Caenorhabditis elegans: one gene and its partners. The protein of the gene in region 2 purifies or fractionates together with the protein of the main gene of each other region. This does not show direct contact. Each region holds a gene or a part of one and is shown on either strand. Other genes may lie near its edges.

Region 1 (5,494 bases), on a different chromosome or scaffold from region 2:
CAGTTGAAAATAACCGTTACCGTAGTCTCGTTTCGGTACGAAACCTTCACACTTTTGGAGGTTTTTCAAAAAATCTATCCGAAGAGTTTTAAAACTTCACAAGCGTTTAATTCAGAATGAGTTCAAGTGATGGAATATATTATTCAAAAACGACAATTGCCGCCTATCACGATATAATTTTCTTTTTCCCCAAGTGTAAGATTCCATAAAGTTAGAATTTTGACTCTCCCATAAAAATATATTCAGACATTGACGAAAGAGCAATGCTGAAACATGCCAAGGATTATCTCTCAGTAGAAGTATGGCCGAAACTGAGCCAGGGACTGGCTCGCGTAGCAGTTGAGAGACCGGATAATCCAATTGTTTGTTTTCGAATACACCATTTAGTAACATGATTTTTTTGACTCTTTCAGAAATGGCTCGCAGATTATCTACACCAACTACGCCAATAAGTTTATGTTTCTAAAAAATAATATAGTGTAAATACCCATAAACCAATAAAACAATAAATTTTTTAAAAATATGCATTAAAAATTAACTACAAAACTATGCGAAAGAAAGGGCAGTAGAACATATATTACATGTAATCAGATAACACACAGGTAGTGATAAAAACGGCTTTGGTCTCAAAAATATGTTTAAAAAGCAGGAGAATTAGTACTCTTCCTCCATTGCAATTCGTACAAAAAGAGATGCAGATGGGTCCAGAGTATGTTGATATCCGGTATTTAGTTGAATTTGCGAGAAACCTGTACGAAGACTCATAACAGGAATTGAGAATTCTCCAACAAAGTCGTTCGAAGATGTAGAGTCAAAATCCTGCGAAAGTGGAATATAAAATTTAGATCCATAATGTTTCAAAACCTACTTTTACACAGAATCGAATAATTGCTAGCTCTGGGCACGAGAGTGTGAAATAGAAATTATCCCTCCATTCTGGGTTGAATCCATTGTCCTTGATGATTCTTGTTTTTGCTTTTGTTTCATCTCGTGGAATTCCGAAAATCTGAACACTGACGTATGGATCAATGATCTCTTTTCCGGGTTCTGACTTTGGAAGATACTGAGCAGAGAAAAGTCCAATACCAAGCTTCAATTTTGGTTTGGCCATACTTCTTGGATCGACTCCATCGAGAAGGCAACTTGGTTTCAGAACGTAACCGCAATTTCCATTAATTCTGAATAATCCTGCATTCAAATCAAGCTCTTCACCAGCGGTTTGGAAGTTCATAGCAACACTTTGAATTCCACAAAGCCAAGAAACCATTGGATGCATATTTGATGAATCTTGACGTAATCCTTTTGGATAACTCTTCACAAGCCTTTCTGCAGTGTAAGTGAAGATGGGAACTGCAGCTTCAAACATTGTATATACTTTATTTTCCGAGAGCGAAGGACTTCCATCAAATGGATCTGAAAGTTTGCATATTAATCTATTTTTGACGTTTTAAACTAACGTTTGTTGACGTCTTGATAAATATTATGGCTCAATTTTACTGACGGCAAACCAATGAGAGCTGATAATTCAGGTGCAACTGGATGTGGATGTACATGGTGCTTATCCTTATCAGTTGGTGAATCATCTTCATCTGGTTCTTCAATGTCTTCTTCAAGAATAATTTTCTTTCCGCGCAATAGGAATTTTCTTTTCAGCTTATTCGGAGATGATAACGGATGGCGATGTGAATCTTTTGGTGGAATATATAAAGAATCTCCAAGAATTTCTTTGAATAAATCTGCCATAACAGCCTGTTGTACAAATCCGACGTGGTTTTCGAGGGTGAGGATGACAGGATATGGTGATGTTTCAAACGCAGTTCTCTGAAATGAAACATTTTTTAAAAAAATGTAGTGAGAACAAAAGAATATCAAAAAATAGCGGAAGAATGAAACACCTAAATTTGAAAAAAAAACACAAGTTTTGAATCTTGGTTAATCTCCCAGTTTGAATTTCCTCCATAATAACTTCTGCAAGACCAATCAGCGAATCGCTCCGCCTACTTTTCAGATGAAGTGTGCAGAGTTCGAAGACACTGATTGGTTCTAAAGTGGGCGTGGCTTATCATTTTGGAGGGAGTTCAAAAAGGGAAAAACCAAAACTGAAAAATTGATTTTATTTCGATTTTTTCATTAAAGTACAAATAATAATTACCTTAATAGCTTCCAGCGAATTCCTCAATGTAATCGACTCGATAAAGGTTCTTTTATGTGTGATTACTGGCTCTCCGTGTTCGCCATCAAACAAGTCTACTGAAAAGAATCGAGAAACTAATTGTTCAACAAAAAATTCAAAAACTCACATTCTAAAAGCCTTGCTCCTTTACGTAAAGCTGAAATATAACCTTCAACAGTAGCTTCTCCTTTCACTTGCAAGCCAGTCAAATATGTGTTATGTGATGAATTAACAAAATAATGAGTCAGAGGTTGATCCATATCTTGGAAGATACTTTCATGTCCTGGTTTGAATACATTTCCCCATCTTGACTGCATTAATCGACGCATTCCCATCAATCCCATCAATTTTTCTTTTTGCTTATCTTGAACAGTTTGTTCAAATGTAGTCAGAATTTGTTCGGCTTTTTTCAAATCAACATTTTCGAACTGGAATAAATGTTTATATTATAAGGATTTAATGGAAATGACCTACTCCTTGTTCTTCAGTTAAAAATCTTTGCAAATCAGCAACAGTCAGCGTTTCCACGTTATCAGAACTTGCTTGAGTCATCACAAATCGAAGATCCGGTCGATCAGTCAATCTTTCAAAAAAGTTAAGAAATTCTTTCTCGTTCAATTTATTATCTCGCGAGTTCTCAAACTCTGATTCTCTGAATATCGCTTTTGCATATCGTTCACTTATTTGAAGATTCATTCGTTTAAGAAGATTCCAAACTTCGTCAAAACTAAGAAGTCCGTTTTTATTGGTATCCGCCTGTTGAAATTTGTCAATCAACCATGCTGTTTCGTTGAATACAACTCTTTGATGTTTGGCAACTGATATGAGATGTGTCAGTACGGAAACCCATTTGTCTCTAGTCTGTAAAACTAATTGGAATTGATACAACTGTCAAGACTTTGCAGATTTTTTTTCAGAAAACTTTCACCAAAAAATTTCCTTTCAATTTTAATGATGTACTTAACGACTTTTCGGAAAATTTAAAACTTGTGTTTTTAAATGATTTTTAAATCAAAACTAACTTCTTTGGAATCAGCACTGAAATCTACTGATTTGTGCAAGAACTTGGCATGAGAAAAAATAACGGAGAAACATCTAGACTCTGGAGCCAACTCTTGGAATTCGTATTTTTTCGATGCTCTTTGCAGATTGTCAGTTTGATAACCCGATCGAACTTCTAACAATTCCGATAGTGCAACTGATTTCAAAGCATTTGGCACAAAATTAAACCAATAACTTGAGTAATAGTTGAGGAATTGTTTACTTTTTATTGTCACCAACGCCATTTCCTTCACTTTTTGACTGTAAATAATTACATGAAATATAAATTATTTGAAGTGAAATCTTACTTTTTAATTCTACATAAAAGCGATCCTTTTTCAGCCCATTCTAATTCTTCTTTCGTCTTCTCTTCATCAGCAGCTTGTGCGGCGGCCTGCTCCTCTGGGGATACGCTCTTGGCCATTTTACACTGAAAATAAATGATTTTACAAATAAGGTCGGCCGTATATGATAAGAAAAATCAACAAAAAGAAGACAAAATGAGATAGGAACCAATTGCAAAACATTTTGTGGCAGCCGTTGCGGGCGGGTCATCGAATGAAAAAGAAGAGAGAAAAAGATGCGGGCATGGGCCAGAGAAACATTTTGAAAAGATTGTCTTTGTTTGGCAATGGAAGTATTGATTGGTATACACACACAAGGATTCAATACAAAAATAGGTCGTACTTGGCAATATTGAAGACAACTTTAAGACGAGAACTCTCCAATTTCTCCTGTAGGTCAACAAATGGGAGGAGTTTTTCCAAAAAAAAAAGGAGAAGAGGTACGATGCTCCGTTATCCCACCGCGCGTTGTTTACCGTAAAACGACATGACTATGTTTTTATTTTTGAATTAACAATTTTAAGCTAAAATATTCGTTTTTCTTGTTTTTATTTTATTCATTTTTCGTTAAATGTTATGTTTTTTTTTAAATTTGTTCACTCATTAACATCTAAATTAATATAAACTGGCTGAAAAACGATTTTAATACAGAAAATGACCCGACATGGAAAAAACTCAACGGCTGCTTCTGTATACACTTACCATGAACGTAGAAGGGATGCAAAAGTGAGTTTTTTGCCTGAATACTAACTTTTATACATAAAATATTAATTTTCAGGCTAGTGGATACGGAACACTCCACGCTCGTCTTGGTGCCGATTCAATTAAAGAGTTTCACTGTTGCTCTTTGACTCTTCAACCATGTAGAAATCCAGTAATTTCTCCGACCGGATATATTTTCGATCGTGAAGCGATTCTTGAGAATATTCTAGCCCAGAAGAAGGCGTACGCAAAGAAACTAAAGGAATATGAGAAACAAGTGGCAGAAGAAAGTGCAGCGGCAAAAATAGCGGAAGGCCAAGCGGAAACCTTCACAAAAAGAACACAATTCTCAGCAATTGAAAGTACACCAAGTAGGACCGGAGCTGTGGCCACACCAAGGCCTGAGGTTGGAAGTCTGGTTGGTTAGAGATCTGAAAAAAACTATCCATTTAATGATTTTATTTAGAAAAGACAAGGTGGTGTCATGTCTACTGAAATAGCCGCAAAAGTGAAAGCACACGGCGAGGAAGGAGTAATGTCGAATATGAAGGGAGACAAAAGCACTTCACTACCAAGTTTCTGGATACCCGAACTCAATCCCACCGCTGTCGCCACGAAATTGGAAAAACCAAGCTCCAAAGTTCTTTGTCCGGTTTCTGGAAAACCTATAAAATTGAAAGAGTTATTAGAAGTGAAATTCACTCCAATGCCAGGAACAGAAACTGCCGCACACCGAAAATTTCTGTGTCCAGTGACCAGAGATGAATTGACAAACACCACAAGATGCGCATATCTCAAGAAATCGTAAGTTTAGCTTCATGTTTTCAAGTTCAATGCTCATATTTGTTTTTAGAAAGTCGGTGGTTAAGTATGACGTAGTTGAGAAATTAATCAAAGGTGATGGTATTGACCCAATAAATGGAGAACCGATGAGCGAGGACGACATCATTGAACTTCAGAGAGGAGGAACCGGATATTCCGCAACAAACGAAACAAAAGCAAAACTGATTAGACCACAGCTCGAGTTGCAATGATTGGTTTTTTCTCTTTGTTTTATTTATTTGATTGTACATGTGTTCTCAATCATTCTTTTTTTTTATTTGAAAAAATCTATAAATATTATTCTTTTTAGAAATTTAGAACTTCAAACTGGTTCAATCAATTATATACAGACAATCGCAAAAATCCGAAATCAGAAAAAAAGAGCTTATCCGATTAGAGTGCTTTGGGCACA
Region 2 (4,624 bases):
ATTCACAGAATATGAATAAGCCGGTAGTTTGAGCCCGTCATCATACATTTTGCCTTCCCCATTCAATTTCCACTCGTACTGAAAAAAATAATGTCATTTTTTAAAGCTTATGTATTGAAACACCTGAACATCTTTTGGGGACGTTTTGGAGCTGCATTGCTTAAAAGTAGGGTTTGCACGGAGACGAAGACCGAATGAAGCAGGGGTTTCTTGTTCAACGCCTAGAATAATTTGAGTTTACTCAACATTTTAAAAAGTATCAAGTACCATCAATAGAAACTGAAAACACTGATGCATCATCAACAAGTGCGGTATAGATTGGTCCACTTGAAGTGCATTTTTCCGCTACATTACACCCGGTGACCAGTATCACATTGTTTGTTGATAGCTTCAAAAATAAAATAAATCAAGTTTTATTTTTATATCTTACATGATGACTGGGGATTTCCAGAAGTCTTTCTGTTGCGGCTTTTGCAATGGTTTCCATATCCAAGGTACCTTAATTTATGAAGTTGATTGATATTACATTATAAAAAAATCCAACCATTCAAAATAGTCCACTGAAAACTCAAAGGCATGAAGCCGTTCCCTGAAATCTGTTTTACTTCGAACGTTGTTGAATTAGAACATGTAGCCACTTCTTTTTCATGGGAAACTGTAAAGTTTGGATACACCTGCAACTGTGCGCCTTTCAATTTTATTTGCCCTTCAATGAGAATTTACCGCATTTTTTGGACTTTTGAGAAATGCTGATCGAGGTGAGAATTTTGTTTTCACTTCTTGTAGTATGCCGATCTTTGGATTGGCACCAAATTTAATGGCGACATTTGCCCCATCTCCCAGACAAATAGGGTTTTCTGAATAATATGTACTTTATGAATGATTTGGTGGAAAAACTAGTTACCTCCGAGAATGGAAGAGTTTTCCATCAAAACCTCACAATTCATAATGCCCATTGGAAATTCAATTGAATCATTAACCTTTTGAATGTTTATACCAAGTAAATCATCAGACAACTCGGCAGTAAAATCTTCAACTTTATCAATGTGAATTTCCAAATTGCTGTATTAAAAAATAGTTATAATTTTTAATATAAGTTAGTTGTACCTGTTGTTGACATTTGGGCAGAATCTAACCAACAATGTTGGGATAGGCAACACGAGGCATTCCTAAATTGAAGAATTAAAAAATATATTTGATCTTTGTCAATCTCACACTAGAGCAAGGTGATGAAGAAAAATAGGACATTCCTCGTATACTTGCCCTACTGGTATCATCCCAAACAAACGGAATAATTGAAATCCCACTTTTTGAACAGTTTATGGAAGCGGAGCCATTAACAGAAAAAAAGAAATTGTAGTTGGGTGGTACTACCAAAAACTGAAAATGCCACTGTTAGAAAGAATTGAGGTATTAAAAGACGATTTAAAATTATTTTTTATAAATGTAGTTTAATAATTCAACCGATCAATGTTGTTACTGGAACTTTCTACTATAATAAATCCGCAAATTTGATGGGGATCTAAACTCATCATTGATAATAGTCCTAAGATTCTAAATTCAATTTATCCAGGATATTTGATACAACACGCTCTTGTATATTTCTGCTTTATCATATGACGCATCAACTTGGCTTTAAAAAGTTATCTAAATATTGGGCTCTGAAAAAGTAATCACTATTCCAATGGAAATAATTTTACTAAACTATTATCGTTTCTTCATTGTTGTTGTGTAAAACAGCACAAAAATGTGTTTACTATAAGTATTGTGACCGATGGATTAGCATCGACACGTGCATAATTGATTTGAACTATTATAATGTTTATTCTATTGTTGATGTTTTTACTATAACAATAAGCATGTACTTTACCTAAAAAACCTAACATGTATAAACCTGTGGCAGATATAACATGTGTTTCACATTTTTCCATATAACATAACTTTTTAATTATAACGTTCCTGGCACTGTTGTATTGATTCCCTGCATTTTCAAAAATTTTCAATTTTTTGTTTATTATTACATTCAAATTAAACGTGATATATTTAGGTTTTGTAATGTTATTTTCAAAGCCTGAAAATTCAAAAATTATCCTTACGTTTTCATTCAAAAATTTACTTCTAAAAGTGCCGGTCTCTGATACACCAGTAAGGTTTTTTTTAATGTCAAAGTCGAATATATTGGTTGCTCCCCCGACTATCAAGTGTAAGGCACTTAAATACAGAATCAATTTTCTCACTACCAATACACCTTCAATTTCACACCCTTTGCATAATCGAAATAAAAGACAAGAGCAGTTGGTCTTTCACAAGGTCTTTGACGCATTTTGAACATACACACACGGCGACACGAAACGCGCCATTACATTACAACCATATGGTTCCTATTCCCATCTTTCAATACGTTTTTTTTTCGTTTTTTGTTCTCATATATTTTATATGGTTCTATGTGGTAACAAGAAGACCATTCGGAGACACCTTCAAAATGAAGATGAATGAGACATGACCAATACTTACCCGTTTTGCGTCATCAGCATAATTTTGAATGTCGACGCAATGAACTGTCGCATTAGGAAACGGATTGTCATATCCATCTGGATCGTCTATTTCAATTGGATGCTCACTTGTCTCATCAGGAGCTATTTTCCATTGAACGTCAGTGCGTGTGCCTGCGTTGACCACCTGAATGCAAATTGAATTGCGTGTTCGTCAATTATTCAGAATTTTCGAAAAGGAAGCTAACCAATGCGGCAAGTGTCCAACTATGATTGAATGCCAAATGACTTAGAAGCTCACTGAGCACAACACGAGTTGATGTTGTTCCTGCGTTGTCTTTTAGAGTTGGCACATTATCGCTGGTTAGTTGAACAGTGTCCACAAATTCAAAATAAGCTTTTTCAAACCGAATACAGCTTGTTCCAGATGAATAGCATTGATTGAGAATCTTACATTCGCAGAATCCAAGAATTAGGAACAGTAATAACAAATACTTCAATAGGCGCTCTTCTATCATTCAGAAAAATTACATGGCAACCGAAGCCAAAAAAGAAAGCTCGAAAAGTATTAGTGCACGAGGCAAAAAAGTTTTACGTATTCTGATTGAAAAAACGCGCAGCTTTATTTTGTCTCTATGGAAACCCGTTATTTTCAATTTAAGGCTTCGTTTCCTTCTTCTTGTTATTTCATTGTCCATGTGAGATTTCTCATGATCATTTTTCTTTCGTTATTTGTTTATTTATATTGTTTTGGAACATTAATGTAATATTTTTATATTTATAAATTTGAATACATAAAATATGTGAGCATCTCAAATTGTTACAGAAGATGTTATTGGAAAGAAAAAGGTAAACGGATAAAACAAGAAAAAGTACAAATTTCAAGAGGCAAGTTTTGAAACAAAAAACTCTAGCAGATAAGTGCCATCAGAAACCAGAGAAACCGCGTGAGAGTGTTGAGGGATTTTGGAAATTAGGTGGAAATTTCTAGAATAGGATAATATGAGCACATTATAGTAACAAGGGAGTATAGTATAAATTGAGTCAAAGATACATGCATCCCTACCCCTAAGTGGGTCTACAAAAGATTATATTCAAATATTTGGCACCATGGAGTCAGATCAGTTTATATTATCAAATTATCACGAGTAGAACAGAGAGTAATGACCTTTACGAAAGGAAGGCGGGGGGGGGGAGGGTTTGAAAAAAATGGGAGTGGGAAAAAAACAAATTGAAAGGTATGGCAGATTGGAATGAAGTCTGAGAACAGAATCATAAAAATGATTTGAAAGGTGATTGAGTGATAGAAGATTTTGAACAAATGACAGTAGAGATTACGCGTAAAATTCTTTTGTCGATGCTTTGGTATAACCATACGAGGCATATGGTCTTGCTTGCTTGGGTTCATCCAATGCGTATGACCCTTCATCTTTTTTCCTGATTCGAAAGACTACAAAGAGCACGAGTAGAATGGCTGTAATCACCGCAACGAGAACACCTCCGGCAATAGCTGAAAATATCAAATTAAATCAAATTAAAATAGATAATTCTACAACTTTAAATCTTTTCGTTACTAAAAAATAAATAAGCTTTGTGCTTTATTCCAAACATATTTTTATGATCTCAACCCGTAAGGACAACATATAATATCAGTAATGCGATGCATGTAAGAAATATTGCATTGTCCTAAATTGAACTTTCTTGGTAGTGAATAATTTCAATAAGAGTTTAATTTTGTAACTAAGTGAAAAAAAATTTTAGTTTTCCTTTCCAACTCACTAAATCCTTTCAAAACCGTCATCTTCTCTCAAAACCTTTCATTCAAAAGGTTCCCCTTTTCCTCACAGACACTTCCTCCACTCAGTGTCATAAAATCAAATATGCACAAAATGCGACCCTTGACCTTGCCTTCCTTCTTTCTTCAGCGGCTTCCGTCCCACCATCCCGAACCTCAGGCCCTTTTTCTCAAGAGAATAGAGCTGGGGCTCCTTTGTTAGATGTGGGATGCTGCTCAGATTTTGATAACCACAAAAGAAGAAAGCATAGCAAGTTTTGAGAAGAGATGTCAACTTTACTGAACAATTCGTCTTTCCCCACATTTTGAGACACGCGTCATAAGGGGTCTATGTTTT
Region 3 (6,176 bases), on a different chromosome or scaffold from region 2:
GCTGCCTCCAAAATCGGTCTCCCCCGCAGCAGCATGTTGTTCGAGTGTGCTTACCTCTTGGGACTCGTGTCTTTCTCAAGAGTTTCGAAAATTTTACAAAACGAAATGTTCGTCGGAGAAGAAGAAAAATCATTATCATCAATCTTTAAGGTACAATGTTTCTATCCGTTCTATTTTCTCAGTTCCGACTCCCGATCGACCTTTGGCCTGCTCAACGGCTGCGGGCTCTTCGCACCGAACAACTCCGTAATAATCCGTTCGACTCGTGGGCTCGCGGCGCGATAAAATCCTGAAGCAGCAGAATTGGAAACAATAGATGATAGTCAGTCAGACTAGGTCACTTCGGAAGGAAGAGGAGCTTCCCAAATGAGTTTGCGGTTCAGATTTAAATTGAGAAATAACAAACACTACTGCTGCTTCCCCAGGAGACACCGGGAGAGACTCATACAATAAGGAGGTGAATCACGCATTGCTAATCTAATCTTTGCGATACTCACACATGATGAACCTTGGGTTTATTTTAAAATCAGATTTTGATAACAATCAGTGGAAGGAGAGTTGAATAAAAACGAAATGAATCGCGGATGAAAAAGGAAAAGGGCAATTGCAAATATTATTGAACAAATCAGTGCTAACAGGAGGTCGTGGACAGATAAATAGGATAATTTAAAAAAGAACAGCAATTACTATTCACGGTAACTAGTTCACAAGTTACTCTGTAAGGTTTAAAAGATGAGAGTCATTGTATATTGATTGAATAAAGACGGTCCTTGGGTTTAATTTGTACTGGGAGATTCGATAAGAGTCAATTGAACAGCTGAAGAAGCCATGTAGGGCATTTGCATTGGCATCATTGGCACTAAAATGTACGATATTAAAATTTTGTTTGAAACTAAAAATTACTAACTCATATTCATGGCTGGTTGTTGCTGAATAGCTGGAGCATAAACCATCTGTTGTTGGGGAGGCATAGCTGGAGCCAGTGCACTAAACATTTCAGAATTTCAATTATTTATAAACACTTGAAAATACTTACACTCTGCTTGGGTCGTTCACAAATCGAGTTCGAATCGTCACATTATCCGGCAGTTGACCAAGAAGGTTATAATGGAAATCACGATGATCCTCAACTCTGAAAAAAAAGAAATCATTAGAATTTTAAGAAAGTTTCAAGAATCCCCTACGCAAGAATATTATTTCCAAGTTCTTCCAAAAAATCGAGTTTCCGTTGGCTGAATCGAACTTTGTCCTCTAATCTGAGATTACTGTCCAGTGCGACGTCGAACGATTGAATAACATCTAATTCAGACATCGATTCAGAAGAATACGCAATATCAACATATTGACTGTACAATTGCAAATTGAATGGGTCGATCGAGATTGCCTTCTTCAGAACTTTCTGAGCAAGTTTAGGATCACGACGCGACTTTTGATGATATCTTGCGAGTTTTAAACTGTAGAACGAGTGAAGATTTGGGGACGATTGGGAATCTCTAATAAGCGATTCGTATTGATTCATCACAAATTCCGATGGCGCTCCGTGTCCTTCTTTTTCAGATTTACGACGGAGAACCCCGAGGTAACGCAGCTCGAGGAGGACGTATCCAGGATATTCTTCACGGAAATTGTCCAAGATTTTGATGGCATCGTCGAAATTTTCTGAAATTGTTTGTTTGTAAATTGAGGAAATTTTGATAAATTATTAATTTTTAACGCTGACTAAACTTGAAATTCAAAAAGTTCAAAAAGCCTCGGAAACGATGTAAAAGTGTATATTTTTTGATTAATATGACTAATAGAAACACGTTCTTTCCATGCATAGAGAAATTTCCAGAAAATTCAAATTTTCAAATCACTTTTTCTAATATTTATAAAAACTGAACTAAATTATGCATTCAAAAATTTGAACAGTAATTTCTGTAACTTACCAACAGACTCTTCGAAACCGGATTCACTGAGAGCCAAATTCAGTGAAGTAGGACAATGTATCTTCGCTTTCATATAAATCTCTCGAGACTTTGTTTTCGATTTGTACGTTTTCCATGTCCAACGAGCGTACTTGATCCAAAATTCTTCATAGAGAGAACATGGAATCAGGCATCTATCGAAAAGAATTTTAACGCGTTCTTCGTGGCCTTCCTTAATTTCAAAGTCCAAATAAGACATCCAGTTGAATAATTGTGGATAATCGAGTGGTTTCACATGGAAATATGGTCTTTTGATGTTTGCTTCGAATCCAGCACGTATCTCGCACTCTTTCATGTTCTTGTCATAAATTCTCTTACGGCGAGCCACAATTTCTCCGCGAATAAGCTGTAGTGCTGTCGGATCGTGTTGGAGACTATTCACAGTGATCGGGAATGTTCCTTCAGCGGATTCCGTCATGATGTTGAGCATTCCGTTCTCTCCAGATTGACATATATAACTCAATTGGACTTGTTGCACGAGTTCTTCGATCTGAAATAATTAAAATTTTGAGATGAATAAATAAATTCGACAATAATCTAACAACTGACCGATTTCCCAAGCTGTTTGCAGACCATCTTCATTATCTCTTCGTATTCTCGATCACTGAGCAAAAGATGTGGCTCGATAGTGTTCAAGTACTGTACGTATCGATCGAAATGAGATGGTGCATGGAATGTTGGAGTAGATAAAAGTTTGTCGAACAAAACTCCAATTCTCTTGCAACTCGCATTAGTGTTTCCTTTGCAAAGCTCATCCATGTACACGGCACGTTCAAAGCCAATTGCTTCCAGCCAAAGCCGATCACTTTGGTACTCGAGCCCCGCGATTTCAATTGCTCTGGCGTATAAACTGAAAAAAAAGTATTTTGAGTTGCTCATTTAGTATTTGATTAGAAAACGTTTATTACGTAGACGTGCCCCGCTGACAAGGGGTTACTGTAACTCATGCGGATTTACGGTCCGCTACTGCATCAGGTAGCAATTCTTCACTTAATTTGAAAAATTAATGCTATAGCGGGTCGAAAACCGACATGACTTGAAAATTACAGTAACTCATTTTCAGCGTGGCGAGACCCATGCGCGTGAGAATTGAGACGCCTGTGTAATATCTGAATGAGGAGAAAACCTACTCTCGCAAGGATTCTGGCGGGAAGTTCTTGATATTCTTCACATCTGCAGTATATCCGAGCCAGAGATCAATCGAAAGCGGAATACTGATAATTCCTTTTTCCCAGACAGCTTTAGCTTCGGCAATATTCCCCATCTTCTTCTCGTATTCGGCGTATTTCTGCCAGAATCCGTAACAATTTGGATATCTCGAAAGGAAAGAGCGATACTTTTCGCGGGCAAAATCCACATCATCCTGAAAATTGTGAAAATATAAAGTTAATCGTGCCACAAAAAGAATGCCGTACACTCTGATCCACTTTCGCAAGAATGTTCACCCAATTGTCGAAATCAGCCACATCAATTGGAGGAGTACCGAAATGGCTTGCCACAGAAGGTCGAGTCATCAACGAGGTATCCTTGTAATCTGATCCATGTCGGCTACTACGACTCCGTTGAGATCCTCCTGTTGTTCTATGACGATTCGAGTTGGAACGAGAACGGCTGAAAGTTTGGTTAGTTAAAGTAGAGTAAATTATTTCGAGTTTCTTCAATGTGCATGCAAAAACATAGAAAACAATTTTGATAGTACGAAATTAGAAATATTATCATGATTATTATTATTAAGCTTCTTCGTGTTGCTCAAAACCGTATTCATCCACAGCTTTTGTGTGCTCCTTCCCATCAGTTGACGCTAAACGCTAAAGTCGGATTTAAATAAAAAGTACTAAGCGGCGGTTTATTTTATTTATAAAATGTACACAAAATAACACAATTATTATCACTTTCTCATTTGAGACTCGGAGAGTGGCGAAGAGCGGAAATGAACGCAAACCTTTTCTGTAAAAATGAGGGCTTATGCAACGTGTATGTTTGTTGCCGAGAATTCTTTGTTTTTTTCTGATTTTTCATTGTTTTTCATCAGAAATTAACCCTTTTTAGAGTGGGAAACGTCCTAATCCAGAAAGGGAAAAGAACCCGTGAGTGTTGACATCATGAGTACATCATGCAATCCAAAACTAAGAACACATCGTACCTTCTCCTTCGTCGATCTCGATCTCGATCCGAGTCCCGATGCCGATCGTCGCGACGGCGGTGTGAATCTTCTCTTTTTCTGAAATTCTAATTTTGGATGGTTTACTTCTGAGGGGCCGATGGTGCCATCAGGATTTTTTACTAGGCATGTTTCATGTGAAAAAATTCAGGAACGGTGAGATATGAATTTTAAGCGGCGAAATTTCAGAACCGAGCTTGCGGTGAGTTTTTGAAGATGCTCAGAGCAGTGGTTTCGTGGGGCTCACGAAGCTTCCCACAAGCTGTTCTGGAATTTATATTTAACCGCTTCACATCATGGTCCTCCAAATGAAACATGTTTCGTTCAAAAGTCCGGTGCATACCTGCTGCTGCTGGAGCGGTAGTAGTCGTCTGTGTCCGAGCTTGACGACCGATCTCTTCCCATCTTAACTTTGAAATTAAATTGAGCCGTTCGAGAAATGGAAAATATTGTCGTGACAATAGTACACGTGTTCAACAAAATCAATTATCAGAAAAAAACAACTCGTTTTAATTTAAAAAAAAGAAAAGAAAATACAACTCTAATGAGCGAATAAAAAACAGTAACAAAGAAGTAGACTATGGCAAACGATGTGATAAAATTAAAAACTAAAAAAAAAAAAACAAAAGATACATTTTTAATGATGAATTCCGTTCCCGTTTTGAACACCGTTTGGTTCCTCGTGTAAAGTATATGATCGGCGATAAAGCTTGTCCATGTTATCAAGGAAATAAGTGTTGGGAAACAATGAAGTTTCGGATGGAGATTTTGGAATCTCTGAAAAACAAAATGACATTAAAAACCAATCACTATTAGAATTACTCACCTTTTGATCGTAGGAAAACTTCTCTTTTTTGTAATGTTTCTGTAAACTCTTCTGGAGTAAACTGAATTCGGTCATCGAGCCTTTTAATCGCCCTTATTGCGACTTGACGAATTTTATCAAGATTAGATGTCTGCCTAACTCTTCCTGGGAAAATTGCTGACGCTAGACCACTTCCATAGGCGAAGAATAAAATGCTTTTCTCCCCGGTGACGCTGAAAAGTAATTTTAAAAATTAGCTCTAAAAATCGGTATATTCTTCATCATACCAATCATCTGCTGCCAAGTATGCTAAAAGTTGAGCAAAGAGTGATGGAGTATACATATTTCCGATTCGCCTGTTGAAAACAAGATATGGATCTGTTTTTTCCTTCCAAACTTGAGCAGACAATTCGATCATTTTTGCAAGTCCAGCGCGATCGTTTTCATCGAGTTTATGATCGACACCATTTCCATTTCTGAATAAAATAAACATTTGAAAATTTTTCTAAACTAATCAACCTACAATTGCTTGTGACGAAGTTGCGAGTCAGTATAGTTCATCACAGCCAGGCCTTTTTGAACCATTTTCGTGAACGGTGAGTGAAGAAACACTCCGTCAAATGAGTTCAGCCCGTCGATACCCGTTGTATGGCGATTAACTTTTGATATGAAATATGTGTATGTCATTCTGACTGCTTCCAAATATGAGCTCAATGATAATGATCCATCGACAACGGGGTATTCACTCGGAATCGGCGCTGGAATTTAATTTTTTAAAAGTAAATAGAGAAATTAATAGCTTACTAATTGGCTTAAAGAAATCCCACGTGTTTTTCATGTGACACGCTGAAAACTGCCGATCAATCGGAATAGAAGCATCTGGACAAATAAGAAAAGCAATCGCTCCTGCACCGCCTGTACATCTCGCTGGACCTTCTTCATATATTGCAATATCCGCGACTACTACAATTGCGTTTTTCTTATCAAGCGGATGATTCACTGTGACCCAATCGATAGCGTGCAGCAGTGCCTGAAAATATAATTGAAGATTCTATTTTGAGAGACAAAAAACTCACTTGTGCGCCTCCAAAGCAGGCATTTTTGATGTCGACTCCTTCAATATCCGAATTTCCAGGAAATAAGTCCATTAAAGCTGTCTTCACACTTTTGCTCTTGTCGATCATTGTTTCGGTACCTACAACCAAACAGCCAATCGAATCAGTCGAGATCTAAACACACTGAA

What was found.
Region 1: the proteins of F57C7.4 (region 2) and plc-4 fractionate together in Caenorhabditis elegans (co-fractionation; one large-scale study listed by BioGRID). This does not show direct contact.
Region 3: the proteins of F57C7.4 (region 2) and prp-39 fractionate together in Caenorhabditis elegans (co-fractionation; one large-scale study listed by BioGRID). This does not show direct contact.

What each region holds. Positions count from the first base shown.
Region 1 is NC_003282.8:7,509,024-7,514,517, forward strand, and holds plc-4 (Phosphoinositide phospholipase C), read right to left. Parts: upstream 3,645-5,494; 5' UTR 3,639-3,644; coding exon 3,523-3,638; intron 3,476-3,522; coding exon 3,196-3,475; intron 3,128-3,195; exon of another isoform or gene 3,035-3,127; coding exon 2,648-3,034; intron 2,602-2,647; coding exon 2,301-2,601; intron 2,251-2,300; coding exon 2,153-2,250; intron 1,822-2,152; coding exon 1,458-1,821; intron 1,414-1,457; coding exon 869-1,413; intron 820-868; coding exon 655-819; 3' UTR 501-654; downstream 1-500. Other genes in the region: R05G6.5 (Uroporphyrinogen-III synthase), read left to right, coding at 116-195, 247-362, 414-452; R05G6.4 (Nitric oxide synthase-interacting protein homolog), read left to right, coding at 4,213-4,284, 4,337-4,678, 4,727-5,064, 5,114-5,294; R05G6.9 (EGF-like domain-containing protein), read right to left, coding at 5,468-5,494.
Region 2 is NC_003284.9:10,586,529-10,591,152, forward strand, and holds the start of F57C7.4 (PKD/REJ-like domain-containing protein), read right to left. Parts: upstream 3,038-4,624; 5' UTR 3,011-3,037; coding exon 2,741-3,010; intron 2,680-2,740; coding exon 2,515-2,679; intron 1,381-2,514; coding exon 1,216-1,380; intron 1,170-1,215; coding exon 1,108-1,169; intron 1,063-1,107; coding exon 905-1,062; intron 858-904; coding exon 724-857; intron 675-723; coding exon 545-674; intron 499-544; coding exon 431-498; intron 389-430; coding exon 268-388; intron 222-267; coding exon 124-221; intron 79-123; coding exon 1-78. Other genes in the region: sdn-1 (putative syndecan), read right to left, coding at 3,827-4,002.
Region 3 is NC_003283.11:5,678,098-5,684,273, forward strand, and holds prp-39 (Pre-mRNA-processing factor 39), read right to left. Parts: upstream 4,534-6,176; coding exon 4,472-4,533; intron 4,189-4,471; coding exon 4,111-4,188; intron 3,579-4,110; coding exon 3,383-3,578; intron 3,331-3,382; coding exon 3,098-3,330; intron 2,818-3,097; coding exon 2,517-2,817; intron 2,458-2,516; coding exon 1,929-2,457; intron 1,660-1,928; coding exon 1,185-1,659; intron 1,133-1,184; coding exon 1,037-1,132; intron 988-1,036; coding exon 908-987; intron 860-907; coding exon 777-859; 3' UTR 501-776; downstream 1-500. Other genes in the region: hmgs-1 (Hydroxymethylglutaryl-CoA synthase), read right to left, coding at 4,766-4,905, 4,955-5,166, 5,221-5,409, 5,457-5,691, 5,738-5,963, 6,010-6,162.